Drosophila melanogaster: one gene and its partners. The protein of the gene in region 1 interacts with the protein of each later gene in a pairwise test. Each region holds a gene or a part of one and is shown in the gene's direction. Other genes may lie near its edges.

The links.
Region 2: the proteins of CG9356 (region 1) and CG18259 interact in a two-hybrid assay, tested with the Drosophila melanogaster proteins (one large-scale study listed by BioGRID).
Region 3: the proteins of CG9356 (region 1) and Srpk79D interact in a two-hybrid assay, tested with the Drosophila melanogaster proteins (one large-scale study listed by BioGRID).

Annotation. Positions count from the first base shown.
Region 1 is NT_033777.3:9,402,037-9,406,179, reverse strand, and holds CG9356 (uncharacterized protein), read left to right. Parts: upstream 1-1,910; 5' UTR 1,911-1,942; intron 1,943-2,001; 5' UTR 2,002-2,140; coding exon 2,141-3,337; intron 3,338-3,406; coding exon 3,407-3,556; 3' UTR 3,557-3,616; downstream 3,617-4,143. Other genes in the region: CG8135 (uncharacterized protein), read right to left, coding at 1-444, 1,091-1,261; BBIP1 (BBSome interacting protein 1), read right to left, coding at 1,403-1,633; CG8132 (uncharacterized protein), read right to left, coding at 3,707-4,143.
Region 2 is NC_004354.4:18,780,739-18,785,343, reverse strand, and holds CG18259 (uncharacterized protein), read left to right. Parts: upstream 1-1,849; 5' UTR 1,850-1,968; coding exon 1,969-2,048; intron 2,049-2,110; coding exon 2,111-2,631; intron 2,632-2,688; coding exon 2,689-3,430; intron 3,431-3,486; coding exon 3,487-3,568; 3' UTR 3,569-4,079; downstream 4,080-4,605. Other genes in the region: CG6891 (uncharacterized protein), read right to left, coding at 4,150-4,266, 4,340-4,605.
Region 3 is NT_037436.4:22,272,236-22,277,010, forward strand, and holds the start of Srpk79D (Serine-arginine protein kinase at 79D), read left to right. Parts: upstream 1-1,749; 5' UTR 1,750-2,322; coding exon 2,323-3,203; exon of another isoform or gene 3,204-3,256; intron 3,257-3,310; exon of another isoform or gene 3,311-3,481; intron 3,482-4,775. Other genes in the region: Csp (cysteine string protein), read left to right, coding at 134-156.

The DNA of each region.
Region 1 (4,143 bases):
CGATCGAGGTACCTCCACCAGAGCATATCCCAGTAACAGGATGAGCAGAAACAATCCCCATGTGTTCGATGCGGACGAGGCAATTGCCTTGAGCTTTTGCCAATCCAGAGACTCTCCTTTGACGGCAATATAGATGAGTAGTACGCCACAGATGAACAGGTAGGAACCGTAGTAGATGGCATTCTCTATCAGTGCCGATTTAAGTTTTCCCTTGACGGTGAAGTCGCCCGCCTTAAGGTACGACTGCATCAGCGGCATAATCAACCAGGTGAGGAACTGTGAGCTCCAGTAAATAATGCGCCAGAGGTTTGGGAACACGGAGGCGGGCACCATGCCCCACGGTTCCTGGCACTGAGGCGGCGGACCCACCGTGGCGCTCGACGTGTTGGTCACATTTGGGGCTGGGGTCGGTCGGTGCTCCTCCACGCACTGCCGGTAAAGCGTCTGAAATGGCAATTATACAATTTGATTGTTAATTGTTATTAGCTCTAATCGAAGGAGTTGATAACCAAATGACAATAGGGTATATCCAAAGCCGGAAAGCGGTTAATTTGTGTTTCTATAATCAATTCGGGTTTTTTGTTGTCTAACTTTAGGGGTGATTCATTTGCAGATAAGAAATTCCAGACCAAAATCAATGTATGCTTACAATTTGAATGGTGTCGGCGAAGCTTTAGATAAAAAGTTAATTAATTTCCGTTCGAAATTTAAGTTTTGTTTAAAAATTACTAACGTTTCACATGCAATAAAATGCGACAAACTGTGTTTTGATGGAAATGGAAATCTAAAGATTACTTCTTTATGAACGAAACGTGTTTTTAAATATTTATAATTTCTAGTCGTTCTAGTCTTGTATATATTTATGATCGTTGGAATATATATTTTACCTGCAACATATACAAAACATATACAAAACCACAACATATGGCAGAAAGGACAGAAGCATTTGCACGTTTAAAAGTACTATATATGCACATCTACAAAATCATATTAATGCAACTATTTATTAAGTTATTTTAAGCTTTCTGTTGTTTCCTATTGCGGCTATATTCTATTCCAAATGGTCTTATAGCTTCACATTCCAACTCACCGATGTCACGTCCAGCGGAATGGTGAATACAATTAGAAAGGAGAAACACCAGGCGGTCAGCACGGACAGGGTGACCAGGATGTGCTGACGTGGTATGTTTCCGTAACGGTACAGCGAGATGCTGGCCAGGAATAGGGCGGCCACGATGCCAAAGCTTAGTAGGTACGCCATTGTGACTAGTGCTTATCCCGATCCCGATCCTGGTACGGGTGTACTCAGTTCTTGTGCTTTGCTGTGATTCTGTGTATTTGTGGTGCGTGCGTGTGGGTGTATGTGCTTATAACAAATGTATTTCTGCGATTAAGGACTGGTTCATAGCGAGCCTGTGGGCTCCGTGGACTTCTTCTTCTGCTGGCGCTTCTTCTGCAATTGGCGAGCGGTGTCCCGATGCATTTCCTCCAGGCGTTCCAGCGCCTGCGTCTTTAGCGGCATCAGATGTGGCCGGCAGAAAAGCAGCTCCGTTTTGTGCTCGAAAAACAATTTTCCGGTTGTGGGCTCAATCAGATCGATTTTCTGCAGCACCTCGGCCTCCACTGAGGACATCCTTTGGAGCTCCGCGGGCGGTCGGGGGGCGTGGCCGGGATGTGTTGGGAGCTGGCGTTGGTGGTATCTTCACTACGCCGGTACCAGTTCACCTTCGTTGTGTTTATTTGTTTTTTTTTCTCGGTCAATCAAATCAATCGACTTTATCAAAAAGTGTGAACGTGTGCGTGGGTGGGCCGAACAGCACTGTTAAATGAAGTGTAACGTGCGTTTTCATGTTGACATGCTCTGGTCACACTGGACTGTGGTGTTCACTTGGGAATTTATTTATTTATACCCATTTTATTGGGTAGGAGAGCATTTTTAAAGGCAAATAAATTTCTAATTAACAATGCTTTTTTATAATCATGATAGTTTCAAACATTTAGGTCTTGACCAACACTAGAAACACAAAACTTCTTTGCAGCGAGTTGGCAGCCCTTGGTCAATGTTTTTGTTTTGCTGGCACAGCAAAAGAAATTCTTAAATTAGGAAAATTTTATTTGGCCTGGCCAAGATTGCCCAGAAATGGAAGCGAATGAAAGTGCGATGCCAGGAACGGACAAATCCCAAGCTTGTCGCACCAGCGGCGATGGCATGGAGCAACCGGAAAACAGTGGAGCGGCCAAAACAGAGAGCGAAATCCCAGCGAGTGCTGATGTGGACAACAAGGTAAAGAGGCCACAATTATCGCGAAAAGACAGCTCCGTTGTCCAGGAGGCCGTCATGGGCAGGAAGACATCAACTAGTAGCGGCCACTCCTCAAATTTGCCCCTTCCTGGCTTGCATACCCTGTACAGACGACCCGAGAACGTCACCCGGAGTTTGGCGCCCGTTGTGCCCAAGGGGGAGCTGGTCCAGATGCGGCCAAGACTGGTCACCAGCGCGGACTCGCTGCCCGAACATAAGAAGACCAAGGCGCCCAAATTCGTGCCCTACGAACCATATCCGGGTGCCGTGAATCCCATGATCTCTGAGCCAACGAATAAACACAAAATCCATCGGGATAAGAACAACCTGGACATTGCGGTGCTGGTGGATCAGGTGTCCACGCTGCGCACACAGGAATTGGAGACTGAGACAACGGATATTAAAGAAACAGACACAGCCAGTAGCCATGAGGTAAACTCACTTAAAGAGGAGCTGGCCAAGATGCGCGATGAACGCAATTACTTTCAAGCCCAGTATAAGTTCCAAACGCAGGTGAATAGCGAGCTGAAGAGCCTGCTGGTGGCCTCCGTGGGCGAGGATCTGCAGACACGGGTTAATCTCCTCACCGAGGACAAACTACAGCTGGCCAGAGCTCTATTGGACACTGCCAACAATTTGACCACCCACACCGAGCAGATTGAGTTCCTGGCCGGCCAGTGTGAGGTCTGGCGGTCCAAATTCCTCGCCAGCAGCGTTATGGTTGAGGAGTTAGCCCGCTGGAAAGCCGATCTCACGCAGAAGAATCAGCTATTGAACGAGTCAACGAAGCAACTGCTTCATGCCACCCATCAGATCCGCGAAATTCAGCTAGATATGCTTAAGCAACTGAAGTTCCTGGCCAAGATTCGTTTCCTCAACCTGCCCGCCACCGATGTAATCAGCCTAAGTGCCGAAAACCTTAACATTCTCCAACGCATGGTCCTGCACACTGGCGTGGGCATTCCCGAGGAGACACTAAAGTTGTCCAGCGCCAGCACAAGTCCACTTTGTGAGGCGGAGAAGTACGCGGTTAGGGTAAGTACAGCGATAGTTAAAGTGATTCAAACATCCAGTTAATGGTACACCTTATTACCGTCCCACCAGGCCTTGGAATTCATTAGTCAGCCCCTGATGGCCACCGATGAAGCCATACGAGCACTTTTCGACCAGGCCCAGCGACCCCACTACGTGCAATCACCTGCATCCGAAGTAACTCCTGCCTGCGATAATCAGCAGCTAGATAAAATGCAATAGTTTTTCGACAGAAATCAATGTTATATGTGTGTGTAGGCCTAATAAATTTTATATACAATCAAATAACATAAATGCAATGCTTTAAAGGTGCTTAAAACGACAGATTCTTGAATTTTTGAAGATTTCCCATTTCCCATTTAAAGCAATCCTTTATTTGGCCTTCCTTTCGGTGGCGTACAGATCTAGACGTCTTTGCCCAAAGACGGGAATCTGCTGACGCACCTGCTCCACCTCGGAGAAATCTATATCGGCCACCACGATTTCCTCGCCTTCACTGGCACTCTGCTGCACCTTGGCCCATGGATTCACCACCATGGAATGGCCATAGGCTACATACTCGGCGCTTGTGTCACGGGCTGGTGATGTTGTGACCACAAAGAGTTGGTTGTCATTGGCACGGGATCGCTGCAATAGCTCCCAGTGCAGTGGACCAGTGGTCATGTTGAATGCAGCCGGATAGATGATCATCTCGCAGCCTGCGTTGCGATAGAGCCTCGCCATCTCCTCGAATCGAATATCGTAGCAGATGCCGATGCCAATCTTGTGGCCATCTACGTTGATGATGGTGAAATCATTGCCTGCGGACA
Region 2 (4,605 bases), on another chromosome or scaffold:
AGCCTATGCGCCCGCGTAAAAAGCCTGAGGCACGGATCGTGAAGAAGACGGGTGAGGCTTGGTACGCAGAGATGCTCCGGAAACTAAGATCGGACCCGAGCCTTAGCGAACTGGGCAGAAGAATTCGGAGAACTCAGCTAGATGAGCTGTTGCTCGAAGTAGTGGGAAAAGCCTCGGGAAGCTTTCCCAAGTATAAAAGCGATCTAGAGGCGACGGTCAATGATTTGGCATCTGTGCGGCAGCTCAAAGAATAGCACTATCCTGCAGTGGACTGGACGAGGATACGATAGTAGAGGAGCATCAACAGGCCCTTGGGAGTAGAGCTGCACTGTTTTGCAGACGATGCGGCAATTACAGCAGTCGCCAAAACAATTGCAGAGTTGCAGGACAAATGTAACACCACGATTGGAGCTGCCGTCCACTGGAAAGCCGGGCTAGCAATAGCGGCTCGCAAGACCGAAGCAGTAAGTACTAAGCAGCAGGAAAAAGGTGGAGAATATGCTAGTCCTCTGTCAATGCGACACAGGTGACCTCCCAAGAGTCCCTCAAGTACCTGGGTGCTATGATAGAACCACGCGAGTTACGGCAGCAAGAATGCATCAGTCACAGTTTCTTCATTGGCTAGACTGGTGCCCAACATCGGTGGTCCAAGCTATCTGGCCAGGAAACTGGCTTCGCTGCTGTACGCTGCACCAATCTGTAGCAATGCTACAAGCAGGGGTTCATACCTGAAAGGAGCCATGGCCCTCAGGCTCATTAGAGGATTCAGGACAATATGTGAAGACGCGGCACTAACTCTGGCAGGCCGCCAATTGATCGGAGATCAAGGCTCTCGGCCTAAAGCGGGGTGGCGCTTACCGACGAGTGGCTGTTGGGTGAGTGGCAGAACAGGTGGTCTTACCAGCTCATTCCTGAGTCGGCGGTTTGGGCAGAGTGCCAACACAAATGCTTGGACTACCACCTAACCCAGTTTCACACGGACCATGGCTGCATTCGGGCCTATCTACGTCGATTGTTCTGCGTCATTTGTGAGAAAACAGAAGAGCATGTGCTAATGCACTGCTCCAGGTTTGCGATGGAGAGGGAGCAGCTAAAGACGAAGTCAGGTGCTCCGTTCAGCCCTAGTGGCTTGTTCGCAGCTATATTGGCAAAGAGCGAGGCATGGGAGCTGGGACACAGTCTAATCATTAAAATGATTAAACGTGTCCGATCAGACGAGATGGCCAACAGAGAAGGTGGCTAAACCCGAACAGGTGTCCTGTGTGGTGGCGAGTGAAGAATACTACCTGAGCGTTCCCGGCTTGTCGTAAAAAGCGACTAAAGGGTGAAAAGAGGCGCACTCATGGCCTACACTGAAGGAAGAGAGTGTGAAGCCAAATTCTGTTCATCGAAGTCATACAATGGCAGTCCCGGTGAGCGTTCAAGGACTGAAGAGCACACGGAGGTTTTTGTTTTAGTATGTGGTGTTGTTTTTGTTGTTGCGCAGGTATCAGTGTTACCAGACCAGACGTCGGCTAGCACCTAAGCGCGATTGTTCTCGGTTGTGCGAAGGGGCACACTGTGAATTAGTGACTCGTAATGTCAGTGGATAAAACGTATTATGTAGCTTAATATATCATTGACAGTTCTGAGAATTTTCAATCTTCTACAAACTAATGTTAAGACATGCAAAAATTGTTTTTGTAAATGAACAAGTAGTTTAATAGTATTAATCGTATATTTGTATAAGTGTTAGTATATTGCTGTTTCTTTTTTACATTTTATATCCAGAATAACATAGATGTTTTTAAGCGATAGTTGCTATCGATAGTGCTGGACGATAGTTTGCCACCCCAAGTGTCACCAGTGAAACGCCAGTCCTATTTTTTTTTTACGAACGTAGTTCGAATAGTCAGGATAATTTGAATCTGGTTGTTTTTACTTCACACATAGCTTAGGAAAAGGTGTGAAAAGCGTATACTGTGAGCCATGGACATCGATTTGAGTCTGGACGAGATTATAGAGCGGAAGCGCGGGCAACGCGGCTATCGTCCCCTCGACAGAAAGTTGTAAGTACATTTACAGGACAGCCGAAAAAATAGAATGTCACTCAATGCGTTTTCCATTGCAGCAATGCGAACTTCTCCAAGCCGCGCCAGCTGCTGAACAAGCCTTTTTTCAAGCCATCGGGTGCCCGAGGATCTCACTCTGATACGCCGGCAAAGCGCACCTTCGATGCCAGAAACACGATCGCCGCGAAGACACGGGCCAAGATAGCCGATGCCCGGGATCTGATCAACAAGAGCGTGCGCGACTCGGGCATCGATGCCCGCCAGCTGTTGCTGGAGCGAAAGAAGGCCCGTTCGGCGGGCCCAATACTTATTGATGACGAAGAAGAGTCGTTTGAGCCATCACATCGCGCACGCGGAAAGGGAGTGCACATCGGTCAGTTTGGTCACCGCCTTAGCATGTCAAACCATGCGGACGGCACCATTCAGGCGAAATGGGACTCGGACGACGGGGTCGTTGAACTGGGTAACCACATGTTGTCCGGCTTGCGTCGAACCTTTGACCCCAGATCCCATAAGCCGGGCAAACCCTTTGCTCCACGACGCTATATTGATCTTGATAATATGCAGGACCTCGAGGATGGTTAGTTAGTGCCTTTCTCTGCCAAGCCGTTCCTAAAAAGCACTCTTCTACTTTCAGAGGAAATATCTCGCACACTGCACTTAGGGCAAATGAAGCAAGCGTCGCCACGCTACTCAATTGGTGGGCTCGACCTGAACCGCGGCGACGACGTGGAGATGTCCATGGCCCCACTAAATAACAAAATAGATAACAATGCATTCTCCATTTACGAGGCGGCCCGCAATCGCATTGAGCGTCCTTCGCTGACCAACCGACTCGTAGTTGGACGCTCAAATACCACCAAGGAGCCTCTCGAGCGCCGCCACCGCGACACAGCAAGCACAAGTAAACTCCCAGAATCGCTGCGGTCTCGTCTGTTTGTCGGTAAGAGGGATCCTCACATTTCTCATGGCATCTACGCCAACGAGAACCGGAGAAAGGCTGTTGGTGGCGGTGGTGCTAGGGATAGCGATAGCGGTACTGATAGTGATGGTGATGCAGCTGCTCCATCGAAGAACAAGCGCCGTTCGCCATCCCCATTGTCGCTGCGTACGTCGAACACAAAGGATGGATACCGCCTGCTGGTGAGCAATCTGCATACTAACGTGACTACTGCGGATATTCGCGAGCTTTTTAGCGACATCGGCCCAGTGTACGACGCTCGTGTGGTGCGTCCCGGCACCGCCGAAGTTATTTACAAGTCACTGGAACATGCCGAGAAGGCCGTAGATACCTATCACCATCGTCAGTTCGATGACCAGCCCATGCACTGTGTGCTGGTTAATCCGCACTCCTCCCGTCGCTCGGTGCACAAAGCCAGGTGAGTGATATGCTTTAAAGATACCAAGCAGTATTGTTCAACGTTCTCGGCCGTAGCTCTCGCACCGTGACCACAAACTCGTCTGGCGTGGAGGTGGACATCGATGCACTTCACTCGGTACTCTTCAGGGTCCGCTAGGAAGCGAGAGGCAGAGCCCGGGAACTAAAGCAACTAGATAATTTTTCTCATCATTTTCATCATCTCCGTAGTATTTAGTTCAACAACGTAGTCCATTTTCATTTCGCGCTTATTAAATTCGAATCGATCCATCCAGCGTATGTTCAGAAAACCAGACTAGTTTAAACGAGAACATTTCTTTACTATAGAAACTTGAATTTTCTAATGCAAATTCTGGCATATCTGTCCACTTCAGTATTCAGTATTAGGTGGCTAAAATTTTTGTCTTATCATCAAAGTAATTCATCAGTCCCACTATATACACAATTAAATGTATGGCATTGATAATGATTTTGCATCCGCTCTTGAAATTTGGTATTGAAAACTTTTCTTTTACCTTTTTTGAATGACACTATGGATTATGATTATACGATAAATAAGAGGACCCAGTAATGTTACAATTGCTTGTATAATATTTCATAAAATGTACAGTTTTTAAATTTCATAAAATTAATTCATAATAATTAAAGAGAAAGGAGCAGTTTGGTAAGCAGTTAAGAGTTGCAAAAAAAAATGTATATGTAAAGTAACTTGGAGGCCGCTTAGTTATCCCGGATGCCCGTTCCGTAGTTGGCGCCGCCGGCACGGTTCAGTGCTTCACGGAAGAGCTCAATGTCCAGCTCGGCCTCCACTCCCGCCTGAAGTTCCACGGCAAAATTCTGCAAGAGATTAGAGATGAGAGGATCTATTTCTGCCTCTGGGCTCTGGCATCTCTAGCTATTGGCTACTCACGTTGAGGACATCCTTGATCAGCGCCTTGTCCGTGGACATCTTGGCCCTCTGGATGACGCCCACCTCCTGCCCGATCCACGTCAGGAAGATGAACTTTTTGCGCTTGGACATCTCGTCACCCATCTGGATGCGTATGTAGCCAAAGGCGCGCTCCGAGTCGCCGAACTGCTGTCGGAATTCCTCAAAGCACTGACCGCGCGCATGTACAATAATCTGGGCGCCATCGAACTTGAATACCGCCCACTCGGTGTCTGTCAGATCGGAGC
Region 3 (4,775 bases), on another chromosome or scaffold:
ATCCAAGACATATTCAAAGAATGTAGCTTAAGTTTGACGGATTTTAGTTTTATCGTTTCTTATGCAACGCGTACATTTTGATTTCTTTTCACTTATCACTGTCTACTTCTCTCTCCCCCTCTCTTCACTCTAGATATGGTTAATCAAAAATATTAGTCAAGTGCTGCGAGCGAGTCAAGACCCGGGTGCTTGCGTACACCACACATTCAGATACAGACACAGAAAACACAAGCCCCTAAATCGTAACAGAAGAGAAAACCAGATTTATTTCATAATTATTAGTGTTGTTTTTAAAATGCGCGATATGTTGAAGCGAGTAAACATAGAAACCAATGTATTTATTTTAAGCCGTAGCACTTAGCTCTAATTTTAAACTATCGAACTTCGTGGCCGCCCTCCGGTCAGTCAGGTTGATTTTGGTCCACTTCGGGCAATCGATTCACCAATTCCATTGTTCAAGCCATGCATCTAGCCTTGCAGCTGTACCACTATACAACTCGAATCGATAGCCAAGCCGCGAAGCCACCATCTCCACCTATCCAGTCATGCTAATCACCAAAACACCATTCGGTGTTGATGAAATTGTATATCGGAAGTTTGTCTAGACATTTGCTTGGGGATCGGATCCCTTGCGGCTTAGCCCGTGAGTTGGGATTCAGTCGCGAAGAGAGGCACTGTAATTATATATATGTATATGATATGTGTATCTAGTTTGTGGCATTTGTGTCGTCGCTTAGTCTAGCTAATTTGTTCTCGAGATCTCCTCTTCACCGATTGTTTCTGTTATTTTGCACTAAATTGTTAAAGCCAGAACTACTTATGTAAAAAGGATGAATTGTCGAGCGACGCGCCCAGCAGATTGCTCCGATCCGATTCTAATGCAAATGTAAATACGAGTTAAACAATTAAGCATCACACAGTTAAACAGAGGAGGACGAAGAAGAGGACACTTTGAAGGGCGATCCAATTAACGCAAATATAAATTATATAACAGATATTAATAATCCCCTCTATATATAAAACAATTAAATACGAGTAATCAAAAGTTGAATTGTAACCCCCGAAAGTATTGCACATATTTATGTATTCCAAATTGTTTCAAAATTGAATTGAATCTAATTAATTTTTGTTTGATTGTTAACCCGCTTTTAAATGTAAATGAATGCGATTAGTCCAGCAGTAATTAACTTTTATATTGTAGTATCCCATTCTAAATCATTGACATCAATTATTGCCGATCAGCTCCGGGCCAGGATAAAAGTCCTTGGGCGCCTGGGTCTAGGGCCGGGATCCGAGAGTCGCCGGCTCATCTATAGTATAAACACGCATACATATATAAAATTCAATTATTAATAATTACATTTTACGGTCTTGCGTGTGTATTTATTGTTCGTACAAGTCAAAGCAAAAATACTAAGTAAACTAAATTTAAACTTAACAATTGTTTCCAAATTTCAATTGTATTCTGGTCTAACACGAAGAAGCCGAAATAAATTTATTATACAAACTCACCGCTTTGTTTTACAAAGGGTATTGCCTAGTCGGCTTTGCCCATGAAAAGCTCTGCCAGGATGGTAAACAAACTGATTTTCGGGGATGGAACTTTCGACGACGCCAGCTGCTTGCAGTTAGCTTTCACTCTCTCCGCTCGGGCTTTGTTTTGTTTTGGGACAGTAACGGGCCACAGCCGGCACATGCGCTTTGCCCGCTCCCCGGAATCGCTGAACTTCGCCGCAGAGTTTTCCGCTTCAGAACCCGGAGGGCAGACCGTCGGAGAGTTCGAGCCAAGTGCGGACAAAGAAGACTTTTCCGTGCTGCTGCTTCTGCCAAAAACACAAAGTGGAAAATGTGATGTGTTCGCTTTATTTGTCGAGGATAAATCAATTCCGCTATTAACTAGACTACGGGCACGTACCTGGCCAAAAGCATCGAAGAAAGGCGAAAGGGAATCCAATAGGCCCAATTGAGGGCAGACCGTGGAAAAACCCTCTTCTATCGCGAACCAGTTCGTGGCAGTGTGTGCGTGCGTGTGTGGATTTTCGCCTTACTTTTTTCATGCGCAATTTGGGTTACAAAGCGAGAAAAGCGCTGCTTAAAATGCATGTTTTAAGCGCGTCCCTTCATTGATTTTCCTACGCACAAGGAATGATATACGAAGTCCTCACCAGGAACAAAGGGCGCAGGCCAACGATGAGGACAAAGACGCGAGGAAGCTGCTTCTAGCTTCCCAGCATTCATTAGGACAGGGCGAGGACCAGCCCCGCGCAGATCAGGAAACTCATCCCGGGAGGCATCCTGGCTCCCGTACTGCCCAGTAGCGGCATGGCCGGCCTCATCGGTGCCGCAAATGGCAAACACCACCACCCACACCTCATCTCGCCCACCCACACGTCACTGCCGGCCGGCATATGTAGTAGTGACAGCGGCATCTCCACTTTGAGTGCCATCTCGCCGCCACTCTCCACCTCGACCACCACGGCCTCCGGTGCAGGCGGAGGAGTGGGCGGCAGCCCTCAGCTGCGCACCTCACCTGCGCTGAGTATGCTGGGTAGCGCCACGGCGACGGCCAGCGGCGTTACCGCCTCCTCAGGATGCGGTCTAACTGCCGGGATCCTGGGCCCGGCGGCCAGCATTGACCTGGGCAGCTCGCCGCTTTCTCACCGAAACTACAGCAACTCACTGAAGGGCTTTAGTTTCCGTCGCAGCTTCGACGACAAGATCATCAATACGCCGTACTTGTCGCGCGCTCCAGCCTACACCCACGGCATTCCCTATCCGCATTTTCACGGTACTCAGCCTGCGGCCACCACGCCGCACCACCTCCACCTACACCACCATGGGAACGGCACAGCTGCGGGATCAGGTTCCGGTGTGGGATCGGGACCGGGATCTGGCAGCGGTGCAGGAGGACTCTACCAGCAGCCTCTGTCGCTGGCCTCGATGACAGCGGCCCTGCCACTGGCTCCGCTCTATGGATCCCCGCTGTCCCTGCCGCTGACCTCCTCTCAGTCCACCACCAAGCTCTCCTACCGCGACGACTTTCTGCAGCAGATTGGCTATCTGCCAACTACGCGCATCTACAGCACCCCGACCAGCATCGTCGACGAGGACAAGGCCCAGCAGGACTTCCTCTCGCTGTCGCTGTCGCCGCCGCTCAACCGACGGCGGGATATGCCGGCACTGCGCGGCCCATTCGTCAGTCTGTAAGTACTTCATCGATATCGTTGTCCCTATTTGGTAAAACATTTTTATTGTGCTATAAAATTAATATAAGAATTTAGTATATATTTCTATTTTCGGCTACAAATACCATATTTGCCAATATTATAAGATAAACTTCCTTCGATCACTTCATGATCACTTGAACACTTCATCTTCAAAAAAAATGTTCTTGACATGAACTGACACTGAGACATGATCAGAAGATCAGGATCTTTTAACAAATAGAGCTGGGCGTGTCCGTCCGTCCGTAATTTTGTATAAAGTTCGACCACACGTTTATTTCAAGACGTGTTCATGACGGACTACTAGAAACGTTAACTAATACTGCTCATTGGAAAGCGACGTCTCTTTAACGCTTTTCTGTTAAGATATCTCAACTCAATCTCTCAACTGAGTAACGAAGTAACTCGACCAAATGCATTTAATTTGTATTGACAAAATGGTATTAGGTTCCATTTCTGAGTGACACAGTATAAGCCTGTAATGTAAATAAAAATATAAATTGACAATTAATGAAATAATATTAAAGGGCATACCAGCTTCGACTTAGTAAAGTAAGCTTTTTTCCAGTTTTCTTTCCCATCACTCTCATGCGGATAAAATATGAACATAAAGTATACGCCGCGTGTATTCCACGTGTCTCTCACAGGCAGGAAATAAATTTATCGAACCGTAACGAGCTGCTCCAATATGTGAGCCGTTCGGGGATGGCCTCACTATTCGCGTTCCCACTGTGCGGGCACAGTGGGCCTCATTGTTGACGCAACCCATTAGTTCGATACCCTTCGCCACACAGTGTGCTTATCCCGAATGGGATGTGATTCCACACACTACATACTTACTTATGTGGTCCAGTTTTTTCGACAGTGGTACCAAGCAAACTTTACCTCCTGCGTCCCATAATCCTACATCGATCCCCCCGCATGAGTTCTTCCATTCAGTCCGCTCGGTTTGTTTACGTTTTTAAATTGCCCTAACCGCAAGTAGGCACCACGTGACGCCAGTGGCTAACCAATGAGCACCCCCAACCCAATCACCAACCTCCAACCCCCAGCGCATCCCCGCAATAACACAAACTCACTGCAATCGAGCAAAACGATGACGTTTTACTGCCTCTGGCTGCTCTGTATTCGCACTGATTTTCTAGCCGACTTATTGTTTTCATTCGCTTCTTTCGGCGTCTATAAATAATAATTTTATTGTGTTGTGCGGGGGGGGGGGGGGTTTGGTGGTGGTGTTGTTATGTACGCCGAGTAGAGCGCGTTCGTGTGTCAGAAATAGGGTGACTCAAGATGTCAGCAAGCTTTTCCTTCTAAAGAAATCGCCATGGCTCCATAAGGATCAACGGCTGACTCAAGTTGGGAACGGGGCTGCAAAATCAATAAGGCCGGTTAGTCCCAATACGAACTCACACATTTGCATATTGTGCAGGCGGCGGACGGAACTGCAGTTGCATTGCGAGGAATTTTTCAATCGCACCTAATCGCTCGAAACTACCTTTCGAAGTGGTTTCGAAACCTTTTGGAATTCGAGGTATTCGAAATCCTGCCTGT